Linked DNA regions of Notamacropus eugenii. The protein of the gene in region 1 purifies or fractionates together with the protein of each later gene. This does not show direct contact. Links are inferred from orthologs where the notes say so. Each region holds a gene or a part of one and is shown on either strand. Other genes may lie near its edges.

What was found.
Region 2: the proteins of ARID4A (region 1) and BRMS1 purify together in Homo sapiens (affinity purification with western blotting; 3 studies listed by BioGRID and IntAct, with this or other methods). This does not show direct contact. The link is inferred for Notamacropus eugenii from reciprocal best matches to the Homo sapiens genes ARID4A and BRMS1.

The regions. Positions count from the first base shown.
Region 1 is NC_092872.1:301,126,901-301,135,210, forward strand, and holds the start of ARID4A (AT-rich interactive domain-containing protein 4A), read left to right. Parts: upstream 1-5,172; 5' UTR 5,173-5,436; intron 5,437-6,550; 5' UTR 6,551-6,590; coding exon 6,591-6,596; intron 6,597-8,310.
Region 2 is NC_092873.1:18,947,446-18,955,321, reverse strand, and holds the start of BRMS1 (breast cancer metastasis-suppressor 1), read left to right. Parts: upstream 1-4,719; 5' UTR 4,720-5,153; exon of another isoform or gene 5,154-5,903; intron 5,904-6,079; exon of another isoform or gene 6,080-7,150; intron 7,151-7,845; exon of another isoform or gene 7,846-7,876. Other genes in the region: B4GAT1 (beta-1,4-glucuronyltransferase 1), read left to right, coding at 1,619-3,346, 3,477-3,668. UniProt on the Homo sapiens protein: Transcriptional repressor. Down-regulates transcription activation by NF-kappa-B by promoting the deacetylation of RELA at 'Lys-310'. Promotes HDAC1 binding to promoter regions.

The DNA.
Region 1 (8,310 bases):
TAAAGAACAAGTCATTTTGGCCCCATAGTACATTTCTAGGCCCATCATTGTCTACTTGCCTAGTCAAACTGATTTACTTACTCTCTGCCAAACATACCTCAATCTTTCTCCTAAGTTTTTGCCCATTTTATTCCACTAGAATGCTTTCTGCCTTGCCTATCCGAATCCCATTCCTTTCAAGATCAACTTCTGATCCCACTCTCTTTATAAAGCTTTTCCTGCCAAATCCTTTTCCTCCCAATTTCTTCTGACTCCTCTAATGTTATGTGATTATAAAATGTGACAATTAATCACTACCTTGCAATACTGCTTCCATTGTTTTCCTAAATAAATTTTTTTCCTGTTAAATAACAGGAATTTTAAAGCACATTTATGTCCCATCTTTCCAGCTGTATCACAGGCTCTTTAAGGACAGAAACTTTCTTTGTATTATCTAGAATACCTGGGCTAAAGCTTTGCATATTAAAACATCAAAGTATTTTAAATGCTCAAAAATTATCAATCTGCTAAAAATATTATCTACTCACTCCATAATCTGAAACATATTTTTATTTAGGCTTGTTCATAAAGGAAAACTAAGATTTATGAATTCCAGTGATTATGCAATTCAAAAGGGAAAAGTACAGCAATACGGGAGCTTGTACCTGGTTAGAAATTAACCTATTATTTAATTTTCTTTAGAGATAAATGATTCATTGGGAAATTTTTTGGCTGCACTACAGCTGTCAAATCTACTTCTCAACATCATGGAAAAGCTTACTGAAACCATTATACATTTCAGAGAGTACCATTTCTTACCTAACTTTGTTATATGTAGTAGCATTGCCATACAATATTAAAAACTGAAACTTATTTTTTTTGTATCATTCTAAAAATCACCTACCAGAAACATTCCAAGAAACAGTAAGAAAACAGGGTTAAAAGCCTTTGATGACTTTTTCCCTACAAAATATCAGGATAAATCTGAAAGACAAAGAATTAAAAATAGTGATGCTGTCCAGTCTATCTCATAGTGAAGCATAAAATCATTTTACAAGAATCAACTTATTCATAATACTTAGTCTACCTCTCTTAATAGTGTGTGGAGGTTGTGGGGTCAGAAGTCAGCTCAAATACTACCCCTGATGCTTACCATCCGCATGACCTTGCACAAGTCACAGCCTTCCTTAGTCTTCACCTTTAAAATAAGGGGACTGATTCAGATGCCCTCTGATATATTGTCCATTCCTAACCCCATGAGTCTATGAATAACATCATATACTATATCATCAGAATGAGGATGTTTGTATCCTTATACAAATTAAAAATCTGCTTCATCAAGACTCTTCAGGAACTTTAAAAAAAATTATATATAAAAAGGCACTTAAGATTAATCAGGAAATCACTATGATATTCTTCAAAAGATTCTCTAACCCTACATCCTACTAGAAATCAGAATCACTGAGAACTAAACCTGATATTTACACATGAAAAACAGTAATTCTCAAGGTCTTTACATTTGTGAGTGCTCAGGATTAAACAAAAGAGAATGAAACTGATGTATAACATAAGCAGAACCTAATAATTATTCATGTTTTCTCAAAAAAAGATTTTCAAAATTTATTTATACAAATAAAAAGAAAAATTTAACTTCACTGATCAATGCTATTTTTGTTTTTCCCAAATAGCCCCCCAAATGTCACTTCACAAGTGCTCAAAGCTTGCACTGTGTACTCTGAAGAGAGAAGAAATAAAGACAACAAAAGTGGTTGAGGCTATTGGTAGGTGAAAAAAGGAAACCATGTACCACCAGTAAATCCTAATCCTAATTAAACAAGAATATGTCAAGTATCAATAGATTCCCCTAATAGAGGGAAAAGAAATTCTCATTTTACTAAAAAAATTCACAAAAGATTGAAGTCTACGATCTTCTGTCTGCGGACATATCTAATTTATTATATCCCATGACATGCTATATAGCTATCTATGCAGAACCTAATTCCTATGTATGGAACACTTTAAGAATTACAAAATACTTTCCTCACAAAAACACCATGAGTCATAATTATGCCCATTTTACTTATCAAGAAACAGAGCTTCAGAGAGATTAAATAATTTATTTTCCCAACATCTAGCAGTGTCTGACAACTTGGTAGGCACTTAAGTGCTTGAGTAGGATCAAACAGCTAGAAAGTATCAAAGATAACACTAGAATTCAGTCATCTCTAAGATCACTACACCATGGAAATGACAACAATATTTTATACCACTATTTAAAAAAAAACGGATTTAAGACTTCTTTGCTAAATTCTAATGCTAAAAATTTCAATACCACTTATGACATCACAACTGATTTTAGTGGGCAAGACTACAACTTAATAAAAGTATAACTGACGTAGAAGGGTTTCCTGATGGTAAGTACTACATAATACAAGCAATGTGACTGACAGGAATATTTTTAAAATATATGTTTTTGGAACCACAGGCAAAAATGGAGCTTCAGTGTGTTACAATATAAATTTCTGCTTCATGAGAAAAGTTAAAAGACATTTATGTGATCAAATCTTATAATCAACTTAGTACCCAGCACACTGTACATAGGGAGCACAGTTAACAGCTGTTAAATGAATGAACATGAAGGGAAGATAGGGGAGATAGAAGGTTGCAGTTGTAGTTCCCTAATCATGTTTTCCTCAAGCTAATATTAATAGTTTGCTAATTCTCAACATTCGCTGGCTGGGACACAGGGTTCCAGGAGGGAAGGTACAACAAAAAGAAAGGATATCAAAAGCTGAGAAGATTATGGATATTAATCATTTGCATTAATAATTTACAATGCAAAGAAGCTATGCAAAGAAAACAGCTACAAATAGTTGAAAAGAAATAAAACATTTCTGCTCCTGTGATTACAATTTTGCTTTCACTGGAAAAAATTCCTTAGAAGACATATTAAAAAGGATTTCATTTATACTAAAAGATCACATACTATAAAACTCATGTAAAGTCCAAAATGAAAGCTGAACAGTAAAGAGAATTATCATTTCCCCAAAGCACCAAGACTCAAAATCTGTTGTTTGTTGCAGCCTGCCTGTTCTTCCTTCAAATATCTCTCTCCCAGATCCCCTTGTCATTACTTGATCCATGTCTTATGTCTAGAGTACTGCAATAGTTTCCTAATTTGTCATACAGTTGCCAGACTCCAACACCTCTTAAGCATCCTTCTAGATGTCAATGGATTAATCTTTCCTGAAGTGCCATCTTGGGAATGGTACTTTAAAACACTTTTAACACTTTGTTTAAAGTTTTGAACTGAAATTCAAAGGTTCTCTATTATCTGGTTTCTATCCTACCTTTCCAGTTTCACTTCCACTAAACAAAGTCTTAGTCAAACCAGCCTACTTGAAGCTCATTTTAGGCTTATTTTTGCTATACCTTCTGCATCCAATTAATTCTCTATACCCCAAAACAACCTCATCTTTGCCTATTAAATAAAAGCACAACACCCATCCTTCCCCTTCTTTCAACAATACATCACAATCTACCTCAAAAGACTTCTGACTAGGCATGAAAATTCATTTCCTAGGTGTTTTCGCCACCTCCTCCCCTCATTCTCAATATTTTCAGAATTATATAAGGACTCACCTCCGAAACAACGTTGAATGACTTTCTCAAATTCACCCAATCTACAGATCTTTAAGAGCCAAACTGCAAAATAATTGAGAGAAATTTTTTAAAAGCACTTATATCAAAGCACTTACACCTCACTAAATCTGACTCTAAAATAGTTTAAAGTCAACTAGAGATGTTGTGAGAATAAACAATAATGTGAATTCCTTAGAACCCAAAGCTTTTCTAATTTTAGTTAATACAGTTTAGCATATGCCAGTCTCTTTACATTAAAAAGCTACTCAATTAAGGAACAACACACACTTTACCTAGTTCAAACAAGTTTTTTCTAAATAAAATTTAAAATCCAGTTGCTGTGCTCCTCTCCAACCCAATCTCTGACTCATCATTACTTAAGATTTAAAAGTGATTTAAAATACTTTCATTTAAAAGGTCCATTACATAACTGCCGAATCAATCAATGGTCACCGTACCTCTTGGTGAATGATTACTGGAGGACTGTTGGACATACTACATTCCTGTCAAATACAATCTCCACTTAAAAAGAGAATTCTAGTTCGACACAGCAAGACCTTAGGCGAACAACTATCAGGGCAAACTGGGAAGGAGAACTCCTGAATCTTGAGAACCAGGGATTTCCCAGCTTCGAAGCTAGGGTGGAAACGCCCTTTTCTTAGGCAGGGGGCACCTGGCAAGAATAACTCCTTTCAAGTTTAGAGAAGTCAAACCTCGGCCCCTCTGCACGAGAATCAGGGAAGGCAAAGCACAGAGATGGGTGAGGGGTGTGGAGCCCCAGGGTCGAGCACACACCTTCTTTACCCATATAGGAGAAAAAGGGGAAGATCCAGCTCTACGAAGAGGTAGCAAACTCCACCCCCTCTTCTCCGGCGGGAGAGAAGGCCTCAATACTCCCCCCACCCCCATTCGTCCCCCCAGTGAGGAACTTACTCTGCCGCGGCCGCCGCGAGGCCCCCTCACTTCCGGTCTTAGTGCCGCTATTGCTGCGCCATCCCCTCAACCCCCCCCCCACACACACCCTCCCCCGTCAGTTAACCGCAGCCTTCAGTTGACCTTTGTGGATGGATCCCAAATTTATTCAGTCACTCACTGTGCTCTCACCCGGGATGGAAGGTGAAGGTCTAGTCCATGAGAACGAGTCAACCGGGTAAAGTCTCAGCTCCCCTCCTCGACAAGCTTAAAATGGGAAAGAGCCACAGCCACTGCTGCCGAGACAAAATGGCGCCGAGAACAGGATCTAGCGCAGGCGCCTTGTATAGTCCCTGCCCCGCCCCCGGTGCAAGCCCCTCTCCGCAGCTATGAGTTCCGTTTCCATGGGACACCCACTGCCAATCCCCGCTCTGGGTCGCTCTTCCTGACCCCCGAGTTCACCAATCAGTGATCACTCAAGCACATCCGGAGTCATCATCACCAATCATTTGTCAGGATCTACTGACTCAATTCCCAACTCCTCCAATAATGTTTGACTCTTCGGCTAACCAATCATAAGTACGATATTTCCTACCTGCTGCTTTTCTTACCAATCGGTGCACTCAAGGCGTTATATCCAATCGGGGCGGCGGGTAGCGAGCTCCAATGAGGAGCGCGGAAGGGTGCTCCATCGTCATGAGGGGCCAATAGGAGTTCGTGTAGGAGCGAGTCTGCTCAACAGCTTGTTATTTGGTGGATTGTGGCAGTAAATCGGGGCGAGCGGGGGACTGGGCGCAGGAACTGCCGCGGCGGCCAGGAGTGGTGCTGCCCGGACGGGGGCCCGCTAGGGTCAGTGTGCCTGGGGGGATCGAGAGCTGACAGCGCGTACTTAAGCCGCAGTTGGTAGGTAGGGAGAAGAGGAGCGGGGGCTATTGAATGGGCGAAGCGGCAGTAGCAGCTGGTGCTGCTGCCCGGGAGTCCCGGTGCACTTAGAGGTTTGGAGGTGGGGGTGGGGGCGGCAGAGGAGAAGCCTCAGCAGGGGGAACCGCTGCTGCCGATTTTCTTTTTTTCCTCCCTCCTCCCACCCCTTCTCCGGTTCCCGGAGTAAAATGGCTGTGGGGGTGGCCGCCCCGCTAAGTTTGCTCCGGCGGAGTGAGGAGCGGGGCTGCTCCCGGGAGAGGGGTCCCAACTCTGCGGCGCTTCTCCCTCGAGTGGGTTTGCGAGCTCGACCAGAGGGGTCGGGGTGGGGGCTTGGAGGACCGGCGCCTTTCGGAGCGCCACAAAAAAGTTGAGGCGGGTGGAGGGAGGAGGCAGTGGCTGCCACTGTGCGGTTCTCCTCCCCTCCCACACCCTGTCCCGGCTGCCTCCCTTCCTCTTCTCCACCCCCTCACTCCCCCACCCCCTCCTCCTCCTCCTCCTCCTCCTCCTCCTCTTTTCCCCTTTTCTCTTTTTCTCGGGCGGCGGGCGGCTGTTGCCCCTCTGGGACCCGGAGCCTGTTCTCCTGCCTGACATGGTGCAGAGCTGGTGGAGGCAGAGCAATGGCGCCGTGACACACCGCCGCCGCTGCCGCCGCCACCGCGGGCACCGGGGGGAGGGGAGAGAGGGGGGAAGCGGCCGAGAAGCGGGCGGGGGGGGGGGGGGGCAGAGGCGGGAGAGGGCGAGCGGAGGGAGACACGGACCGCCCCGGAGACTGCCCCCCGTAGGAGCCCGAGAAACAGAAACTGCCGCCCTCCGCCAGCACCGGCGGCACTCAGAGGAAGCCCCGACTTCACTTTGCCCGGGTGGAAGTGGGCAGAGGGGCGGAGGCAGGGAAGTCCTCCGAGGGGCGGCATGAAAGCTGGTTTGGGGGCTCCTCCCGCCCCCCCTCTTCCTTGGGCCTCTGCTTTTCCTCCCGGACCTGGGACAGCGAGGGCTGTGCCCCTCCCCGCTGGGGCTTGTTTACTCGGACGGCTTCTCGGGCTCTTGTTGGTTAACTGCACTTCTCTCTTCCTCCCTCACGCATCCTGCCCTGCCGAAGACTTCTCTTTGAGCTGGAACCTCTTAGATCGTCCCCCAAAATGAAGGTAAACGGGATAAGCGTGGCCCTCCCCGCTGGAGAGGGACCGGCCTGCCCCTTTTGGGTCATCCCTGCTCCTCCCCTGCTCTTGAGCTTTCGCTTTTGGGACTTTTGTTCTGAGAATTTTAAAAATATGCATTTATATACATATGTATACATATATTTATGTATATTTAAACTTTATTCCTTTGTCAGTCATTGAGGAGTGTGGGGGGAAATAGCATCTATTGAATGTGTCGGAAGCGATCGATGTGTATGAAGTGCCGTCCTCCTCGACCTCTTCTAAGGCCCTAGAATTCTAACTCTATCGAGGGGATCCGACTCTGAGCTGTTGTTCTTTGGGCGAATATTTTTCTTTAAACACTAATGACAGCGGCCTTTGCAAAACAATAGCTTTTGTCCTATCTTTGAGTTTCGGGGGATTTTGTTTGTGCGTTTCCCCAAAGAGCAAAGAATGTATGTGGAGTTGGAATGGAATGGAGGGAGCCTAGTGGAGAGAGATTTCAATTTTTCTAGGATTTTAGAAATAACATGCATTACACAAATCCATGAGGTTGAATTAAAACAATGCTTAATGCTCAGTCCATATGATAAATGTTATTAAACTCTTTTTAATGGAAAAGATTATTCCAAAATAATTCCAACAAGGAACATTTCAAAGGATGATAGGAAAGAAATGACATTTTATAATGATAGTTTAAAATAGTCCTGATTATACTTCTTTGCCACAAGAAGTTCTAAAATTTTATTAATTTATATGCTTTTAAAATTAGTTAATTTATCAAACTCATGATTGATTTATTGCCTTATTCATTTATTAAACCTCACTTTCCTAAATTCTTAATGCTTGCTGTGATTTTTATCAGGAAGAAAGGTGACAGCAAGCTTTGAAAAATGCTCCAAATATTTCAGAGTTTAAAACTTTAGGAAGGTAAATATAATTTAATAAATGAATAAAGTGACACTTTGAAAGTTTGAATGTTGTTTAAAACAACTAGTTGGAAAAATAAATTATTTTCCTACTTACAGTATACTACAACTGTTTTTAAATGTATGTGCCTATAAATAGCTCTGTGAATAAGTGCTAAGCTTCATATAAGATTTGTGTATAAAAGAGACAACAAAAGCATGTTCACACGAGGATTAGAGTTTATGGTAAAATGAAGTATCTATTTTTTTTTTTTGCCACTTCAGCATGTTGAAATTAGATATTTCCAAAGGAAGCTTCTTTTTTTACACCAGCAATATTAATGCAAAAAATCTTAGTGCTTCAAATGTAAGAGCATTAGTTTTATTTCTCTGTTATCAGCTGTTGTGACTTCCATTTCAACCTCAGTCTTCTGACACAGTACTGATTAAATAATGTTTTCAATTTTAAAATAGGTTGAATGGATACTTATTTATTTGTAGGTGTTACATTGTGTCTATTGTTGTTACAATGAATATTTGGTTAAAGCTCTCTACTGACATGTTTATCGTGGTAATTTAATAGTTTCGACTTAGAGGTAGGGTATCAAAGAAGATTTAAGTGTTTTGAAGCTTTAAAACAATAAAAAGTTATATAGACCATTTCAGGTCTTTAACAATATAACCCTAAGATTAATGTACTATATTCTCCTGAATTCTTAAACTTTTGGCATATGGTAAAGGTTTTTTGACTCTATATCTGGAGAAAAGAAATGGCAGTGCACTCCCTTTTAATATTTTCCACTTAAAAATTA
Region 2 (7,876 bases), on another chromosome or scaffold:
GAGATTGTGACAATTCTGACAATTCAGTTCTGACTCCAATGCCAGCGTGCTTACTTCAGTATGGGAGGGGGTGGTACATAGCAGCCTTAATGTAATTAGCTTTAGAGGGGGTTTTTAGCAGTAGGAAGCATTCTGGATTTGGAATAGGGCGCCCTCTGAATTCTGAGGCGGTTAGACTAAGTGATCATCTCAAACCCTTCAGAGCCTGGAATCAGGAAGACCTGAGTTCAAATACAACCTCCGACACAGTCTAGCTGCGTGACTGAACAACCCATTTGCCTCAGTTTCTTCATCTGTAAAAACAGGGATAATAACAGCACCTAATTGGCAGGGTTATGAGAATCCAACATGAAAATGTCCTCCTTAAGATGCTAATAAATTCTGGCTGTTTCTGTTCTGGTGGTGGTGGCCGGGAGCAATCAGGACTGGGCATTGACTCTGGCTGGCTGTGAGGTCCAATGAATTCATGAGCTTCCCTTTTCTTCCTCAGTTCCTTGGCCATGGGTAGGGAGAGCCCTGGTTTGGCCCTGCCTTCTTGAGGCTGAGTCCCATCCCAAAGATTATCACTGGGTCAGATCTTCCTCTGGGGAGAGGGTCACTCCTCTGGGGCCCAGCTTCAGCTCTTTCCACAGAACAAACACAAGGCACAAAGTTCCCTCGAAGCTTAATCGGTGGGCATGCTTTTACTAAGCACCTACTGTGCGCCAGGGACCGAGGCTGCAGAAATTGAAAGCTGCTCCCAAATATTATCTTCTTCCTAAGGGAGGGACAACGTGTGCACGTGTGTGTTTATACCCGACCTCAACAGGAAGCCCCATGTCCATCTCAGGGCTCTGCCCTCTCGGTGTCCAGCAGTGTTTGCTAAGTCGAAAGCCAATCCCAAACCCAGATCGAGATCTCCCTGCTAATCTTGGGCACTTGGGGCTACGGAGCTTAGGACAGGAAGACCACGAGTTGGACAGAGCCCAACAACCACCACGACTTCCCTCGGAAGGTCCCTCCTTTCTCTGGGATCTGGTCAAACTGGAGCCAAAATGTGGGTGGTCTGAGTCTCTCCTGCGAAGGGGAGGGATGACGGGCATCCGTGCCTTTCTCTGGCTGTTTTCCCCAAAGCTCCTAACACGCGAGAGCCTTCCGAGGGAGCTGAGGAGGAAAATGACTGCGGGGCCAGCGGAAAATTGGAACGACGAGGATGGGATTCGAACCCACGCGTGCAGAGCACAATGGATTAGCAGTCCATCGCCTTAACCACTCGGCCACCTCGTCCCGCCGCAGGCTGATTTCTCCGCGCAGCCCCTTGTTCCTGCGTCCGGCTGCGGAGAGCACCGCGCCAGCCTTTCCCCTCCTCTGCGGGCCGGGCGGGGGATCTCTGATGCCAGGAGAGGCGCGGCACAGGGACCCCTGGGAGGGGCTCGTTTCCTGCTCCATGCTCGCGTTTTCCTTTCAAAGGGTGGCCGCGACTGCCGAGTGACCAGGAAACATCCCTCCCTCCGCAGGCCTCTGTGGATAGCTGTGGGCACGTCCCTCCCCCCACCCCCCGAAAAGATTGCGGGAGTGCAAACTAGAGTGGGAACCTGCAAACCCGGGCGCAGGTGTCAGGGTGTCCTTCCACGGTCACATGTGTTTGCGACTCCAGCTTGGCGCGCCCTGTGCGGCCGAAAAGGGGGCTTGCCGGTGTCGCGTCCCCTTCCTGGCAATTCCTAGGGAGCCACGAGCCTTTGTGCCAGGGAGGACACGCTGCCTGAGGCACTGCCTGGAAGTTGCAAGCGAAGCCTCGAGCGCTTCCTTCCCCCCTTTCTTTTCTGCAAGGGAGGAAGGCACAGGGCAGTTTGCCAGCCCACCCCTAGGCGCCTTGTTCCCCTCCAGAAAGGTTGGGTTTGCCAGCCAGGCCACGGGCCCCTCTCTCTCGTTCCTGTTAGAACCTGGGCATCTCTACCCCCCAACACACACACACACACCGCACATCTGCGTGGGCCACACACAGCTGCGGGGCTCGCCGTGGGGCGCGCGGCTGCAGTGCGTCCTCCCGCTGGGCAGAGGGCGAGAGTGCGCTCCGCGGCGGCCCCCCAGTGCCCGGCTGGCCACAGTCTCAGTAGCAGGGATAGCGGCGGCGGCGGCGGCAGCTGCATCCGCGGTGCGCTCGCTCGCCCGGCTTGGCCTCCCTCCTCCGCTCCTCGCCTCCTCCCCAGCCTCCTGCCCCGGGAGGCCTGGGCGGCACGCGATGCCCAACCCGCTGGCAGTGGCGGCGGCGGCGGCGGGCGGCGGGCACGCGGCGGGCCGCTGCTCGGCCTACAAGCTGGCACTGGCGGCGCTGCTGGCAGTGGCGCTGCTGCAATTCGTCTACCTGTCGCTGCTGGCCGGGCTGCACGGGCGCGAGCAGCGGCGCCGCTACGGGCAGCTGTTCCCCGGCGGGGCGGCCCTGGGTGCCAGTCTGCAGCGCCGCGCGGCCGAGAGCGCCAAGGAGCAGCTGCGGGCCGTGCTGGCCGCCGGCGGCGCCCTGGACGCCAGCGGGGACTACCGCGTGTACCGGCACGTTCTAGGGGACCCCTCGCGCCGCCCGCGCGACGCCCTGCTGCTCGCCACCCACGCCAGCCTCAGCAACCTGGGCCACGTGGGCACGCTGCTGGAGCGCTGGGCCGGGCCCTTGGCAGTGGCCGTGTTCGCTGCGAGGCCAGACGAGGCGCAGCTGGCCACGGTGCTGACCTACGCGCTGGGCGCTCTCTGCACGCAGGCCGTGCGCGACCGCCTCACCATGCACCTGGTGTGCCCTGCGCGCACCGAGGCCGCAGTGCCTGACCCGCGGGAGCCGGGCGAATTCGCACGCCTCAGCAGCTGCACAGATGTGTTCACCAGCATGGGCGCCCGGAGCCGCTCAGGTCGCAACTACGCGCTGGCCACCAACGTCTCCTACCCCAACAACCTCCTTCGAAACGTGGCCCGGGAGGGCGCCGGCCATGCCCTCGTCGTGGACGTGGACATGGTGCCCAGCGATGGGCTTTGGACCGGCCTGCTGGAGCTGCTGGCCCTGGGCGAGGGCAGGGCAGGCCGGGCACTGGTGGTTCCGGCCTTCGAGATCCGCCAGGGGGTTCGGGTCCCCCGCACCAAAATCGAGCTGATGCGCTTCCTTAAGATGGGGCACGTTCGCCCATTCTATGCTGAACTGTGCCCTCGATGCCACGCCCCCACCAACTACTCTCGATGGCTCACCTTGCCCCCAGGGGGACCCCTGCGACCTGCCTACCGCGTGACCTGGCAGGACCCCTGGGAGCCCTTCTATGTGGCCGGAGGCGCAGTGCCCTCCTACGATGAGAGGTTTCGGCAGTATGGCTTCAACCGCATCAGCCAGGTGCCGGTCGCTCTCTCCCTGGGGTGGGAGGGAAGGGGCTGACAAAAGGTGTCTGGTAAGAGCTGATGGGGGTGGCAGGAGGATAACCAGGGCCAGTTTGACCGTTTCCTCTCCCCCTCTTCCCTCCCAGGCCTGTGAGCTCCACGTAGCAGGGTATGAGTTTGAGGTGCTGAATGATGCTTTCCTGGTCCACAAGGGCTTCAAGATGCCAGGGGACTTCCACCCCCAGAAGGAGGCAGAGAATCAACGGAATAAAATCCTCTTCCGCCAGTTCAAACAGGAGTTGAAGATGAAGTACCCAGACTCTCCCAGGAGATGCTGATCTGCCGACCCACCTAGAGAGCAGCCTCCAAAGGCAGGGCTGGGGCCTTTGGCTCTTCAGGTTTCCCCCTCAAGCCTGTGGGAGGCAAGAGGGGCTAACCCAGTCCTTCACCCTGGGGGTGGGCCTTTTTTAGGTGGGTGATGAGCACTGATGTGACAAAGCCAAGAGGTAAGATTTTTTGGGGAGTGGGGGACAAGAAGGGATTTGGAAAGGGAGTGGGGACTTTGGGAGAAGAAATAAGCTTCATTCAATTCAGGAAGCTTGAATTGTGGTTCAGAGATAGCTGCCAAAAGTCTTCATTCTTCTCATTTTACATATCCCTAGGTCCCTGCCCTTTATCTCACCACTTATCTTGGGCCACTCTCCTCCCCTCTCTGGGCCTCAGTTTCCCCATCAGTAGAATGAGAGAGTTGGACCAGATGACCAAGGTCCCTTTCACCTCTGAATCTGATGATTTAAGGGGAAGAAGGAGGTTGAGAGTCCTGGACGCCAGCCCCAACATTGCCTCGGACTTGTTGTGTGACCCTTCAGCAAATCCCTTCCTCTCCGAGTCTGTTTACATGTCTGTAAAAAGAGAGAGCTGGAATAGGAGACTTGTTCCAGCTCTAAGATTTGGCATCTGTGACTGGCACGGCCCTGGGAATCAGGCTGGGTGGGGAAAGAACCCCCTTGGTGAGAGGAAACCCCCATCCCAAATAGGTACAGAGCCAGGAATTTTGACTTGGATGACAATATGCCAATAAAGCAGTGTTCAAGTGCACCAGTGTCTCGGTGTTGTTCCCTTCCAGCGTCATCGTGAACGTTGGAAGTCATGACAGACCCAAGGTCTGAGCAAACCACTCTGGAGCCTCAGTTTCCTCATCTGTTAAACGGCAGTAACAATTGTGTGTGTAGTATTTTCTCTCCCCGGGTGGTTGTAAGACCCAAAGGAAAGACTGGCTTTACAAGCTGCAGTACAAGCTCTAAAGTCCTATGTAACTGTAGGTATGTTTCTTTATTACGTCCCTTTCCCGGGAACCTCAGTTTCCCCCTCTGTACAAAGCCAGTAGTAGCCTTAGGGGGCGATGGGAGTGGCTGCTGCTCTAGCCATTTGCCCCGAGCGCGGGGGGCGGGGCGGTCAGGCCTGGACGGGCCCTGGGGCTGCATTCCCGGAGCGCACGCCGGAAGAGGAAAATTCCCACGGTCCTGCACCGCCGCAAGTTAACAGGCCGCAGGAGCGTTCCCGGTTGTTATGGAAACGCGGGGCGCCGACGGCGTCCCAGAGTCCCTCGCGGCTCGGCGCTCCTTGATGACGTAGAACAGCGGTTCCCGCTCGCTCCTCGGAGGGCGGGTCCCGGCGTGTTCGGCCCCTCCCCGGTGGGTGGGGCCCTGGGCGAGACTTCCGGGACACTGCCCGCAGCCGGCCGCGTCTGTCTCGTCCCCTCCCCTCCCCCCGACCCAGGACCTCCCGGAGCGGCCGCCTGGATCTTGGACCCCCCGCGAAAGGTTCGTCCCGGCCGCGCCCCCCTCCCTCCCCGCGGCGCGAGCGGTGGTAGCGTCCGCCGGGGAGGGTTCCATAGGCCCGGACCGGACCATTGCTCCGGGCGGGGGGAGGGTGGTCAGGAGCCCCGCGGCACCCGGCGCCAGGGGAGCCCCTGGGCCTCTCTGAGCCTCAGTTGCCTTCTCTGTAAAATGGCCCTCCCCGGCTGCCCCTGGGGCTGCCGCCCAACGTAGGCTTCATGCTGGGGACACCCCGGCCGGCCCTGCCCTGGGGCTCACCGTCTGCTGACCCCCGGAGGCTAAAAGCGGAGGGGGCCCCTCCGGGAATGGAGACTTGCGATACACCCCGAAATCAGAGAGGTGTCTGTGGGGGTGGGGTGCCCCCCGCCGTGGCCACGTCCGAGCGGAGGCCGGGCTGCCCACAGGCCGGAGTGCCTGGAGAATTGGGGCAGGTTTCAGCCAAGTGCGTCGCGCGTGGATGCTTGGAGAGAGAGGACCATTCGGTCCGAAGCTGCCCATGACCAGGAGCGGCTCCGTGCACTGGGCAGGGGTGCCCAGGGGGCACCGGGGACCTGCGCGTGGCCCCAGGCCCCTTCCCTCGGATCAATGACTGGCCGAATGGTGCCGTGTGTGCAGGATGTTTGGCCGCAGGGATGCCACCGTAGAGGCTGCCAGAGCCAGGATCCAGCCTGGGCTAATTTAGTAAGATACCTAGGTAGGGACGATGGGCAGCGGTTGTGAGAAAGATCCGGGGGTCTGGAGGAGATCGAAGGACCCAGGATGAGTCAGCAGCCCCCCAGGTGGAGGGGACCCACCCCTCTGTGTTCTCTCCCAGTCACCAGACCTCAGGCACACCTCCTCCTCCTCCTCCTCCCCCTCCTCCTCCACCTCCTCCTCAGCAGTATGGTACTCAGTTCTGGGGGTCTGCTTACTATTTATGAAGGATAAAGAAGCTGCGGAGTGTCCTGAGGTGGGCAGCCAGGATGGTCAAGGTCCCTGGGTCCAAAATGTAGCTGGTGGAAAATAGGGAGAAAAGCCTTCCCCTGCCCCCTCCAGTCCAAGGCCCAGTCTGGGCACAGGGGCCTGAGGCACTGTGAGGACCAGGCAGATTCTGTCTTGCAGCAGGAATGAGACTGTGGAAGGAGCAGGACCCGGGTTTGGGCAGGGTTAGCCTAGTTCTCGTTCCCATTCTTCTCTGTAGGGTACAGATAATAATAGCACCCACCCCCCACAGGTGTGGTGTGGACCAAATGAACTAATCTAATTAGAGGTGGCCCCCGTGGGTCAGGGACTAGGCCTGGAGTCAGGAAGACCTGATCCAGCCTCAGACACTTACTTGCTGTGTGTGATGTGACCCTGGGGAACTCACTTAATTTTTGTCTGCCTCAGTTTCCTGAGCTGGAAATGGAAATAATCGCTCCTACATCCCAAGGTTGTTGTGAACACTGTAAAGGATTTGCGCTGTCCCCAGCACCCAGTCGGTGGTTCTTTTTTTCCAGCGCTCTGGCAATGTTATTTGTTATTAACCTTTAAGGGCACCGGAAGAGCTAATTTAGGGTCTAAAAAGGTCTTCTGTGGAAAGCAGCTTCCTGTAACTCATCTGCATGGAATTTCCTTGGGTCGTGTGGGCCCCTGGGAATCTGGGCTCTAACTGCTTAGATGGGGGAGCCTGGGGGGAGAGGTGGGCAGTTCGTAGATTTCCCTTTCAGAGAAGGACAGCTGGACCCCTTTGGACTTAGACATTTCTGGTGAGGGCCTGGGACTCTTTAAATGGGGTCTCACTTTAGAGTCCAGCTTGATTTTGCCTTCCTTGGTCTGTGGTGTGGCTCAGCCAGAGGCTGGGAAGGTAAAGATTTGATTGTTTTGGGCTGGGCTCACCTTCTCCCAGGACAGACTGGAGGCTGAGAGCCAGGGTCATCGTCCCCCAGCCTGGATCCCCTGGCAGGAGCCTCAGCTCCAGGCTGGTTTTTTCCTCCCTGCCCTGTCACCACCTGGTGCACCACCTGGAGGGTGGGATAGAGATTTCTTTGTTTGACCTTCATGCCTCCCGACTCATCTTTACCCCTTGAACTCCCTCTCTCCTCTCTGCCTTTGCCATTGATGGCTTGCCCCCCACCCCCACATCTCTTACCTTCCCTGGTTCTCTGGTGTCTCAGACACCCCTCCCCCTCACCTGTACATGAGTACACATTATGTACACTTGAATGGGAGCTCCCTGAGGGTAACCCTAGATGGGGAAACTGAGACCCACCAGAGGTGACTTGATTAGCCCAAGGTAAAAAGGACATAGATTTCAACTCAGAAGGGAGTTTAGTCCAATCCTCATTTTACAGAAAAGGAAACAGACAAAGAGGGGCAGTGACTTGTCTGAGTGTCTGAGACAGGATTTGAGCCCAGTTTTTCCAGATCCCAAGTCCAGCCTTCTGTCCAGTACTCCCTGCAATCCCTGTGAAATGGCAAAGCCAGGCTTTGAAGCCAAGCCTTCAGACCCCATGTCTAATTGGGGCACCCTGGAAAGTGCTGGACACGGCCCCCAGAGAACCTAGTCCTGTGTCCTCTTATGAAGATTGAGGAAACTGAGAGCCCTACCCACCCACCACCCACCACCCAACCCCCAGGGCAAGTGACTCCCTGGCTACTTTGCCTTAGCAATGATACCCACAATCATGAAGGTTTCCTTCTGCCCTTTGGCCCTTACCTGCCATGTGACCCTGAGCAAGGCCCTGGCA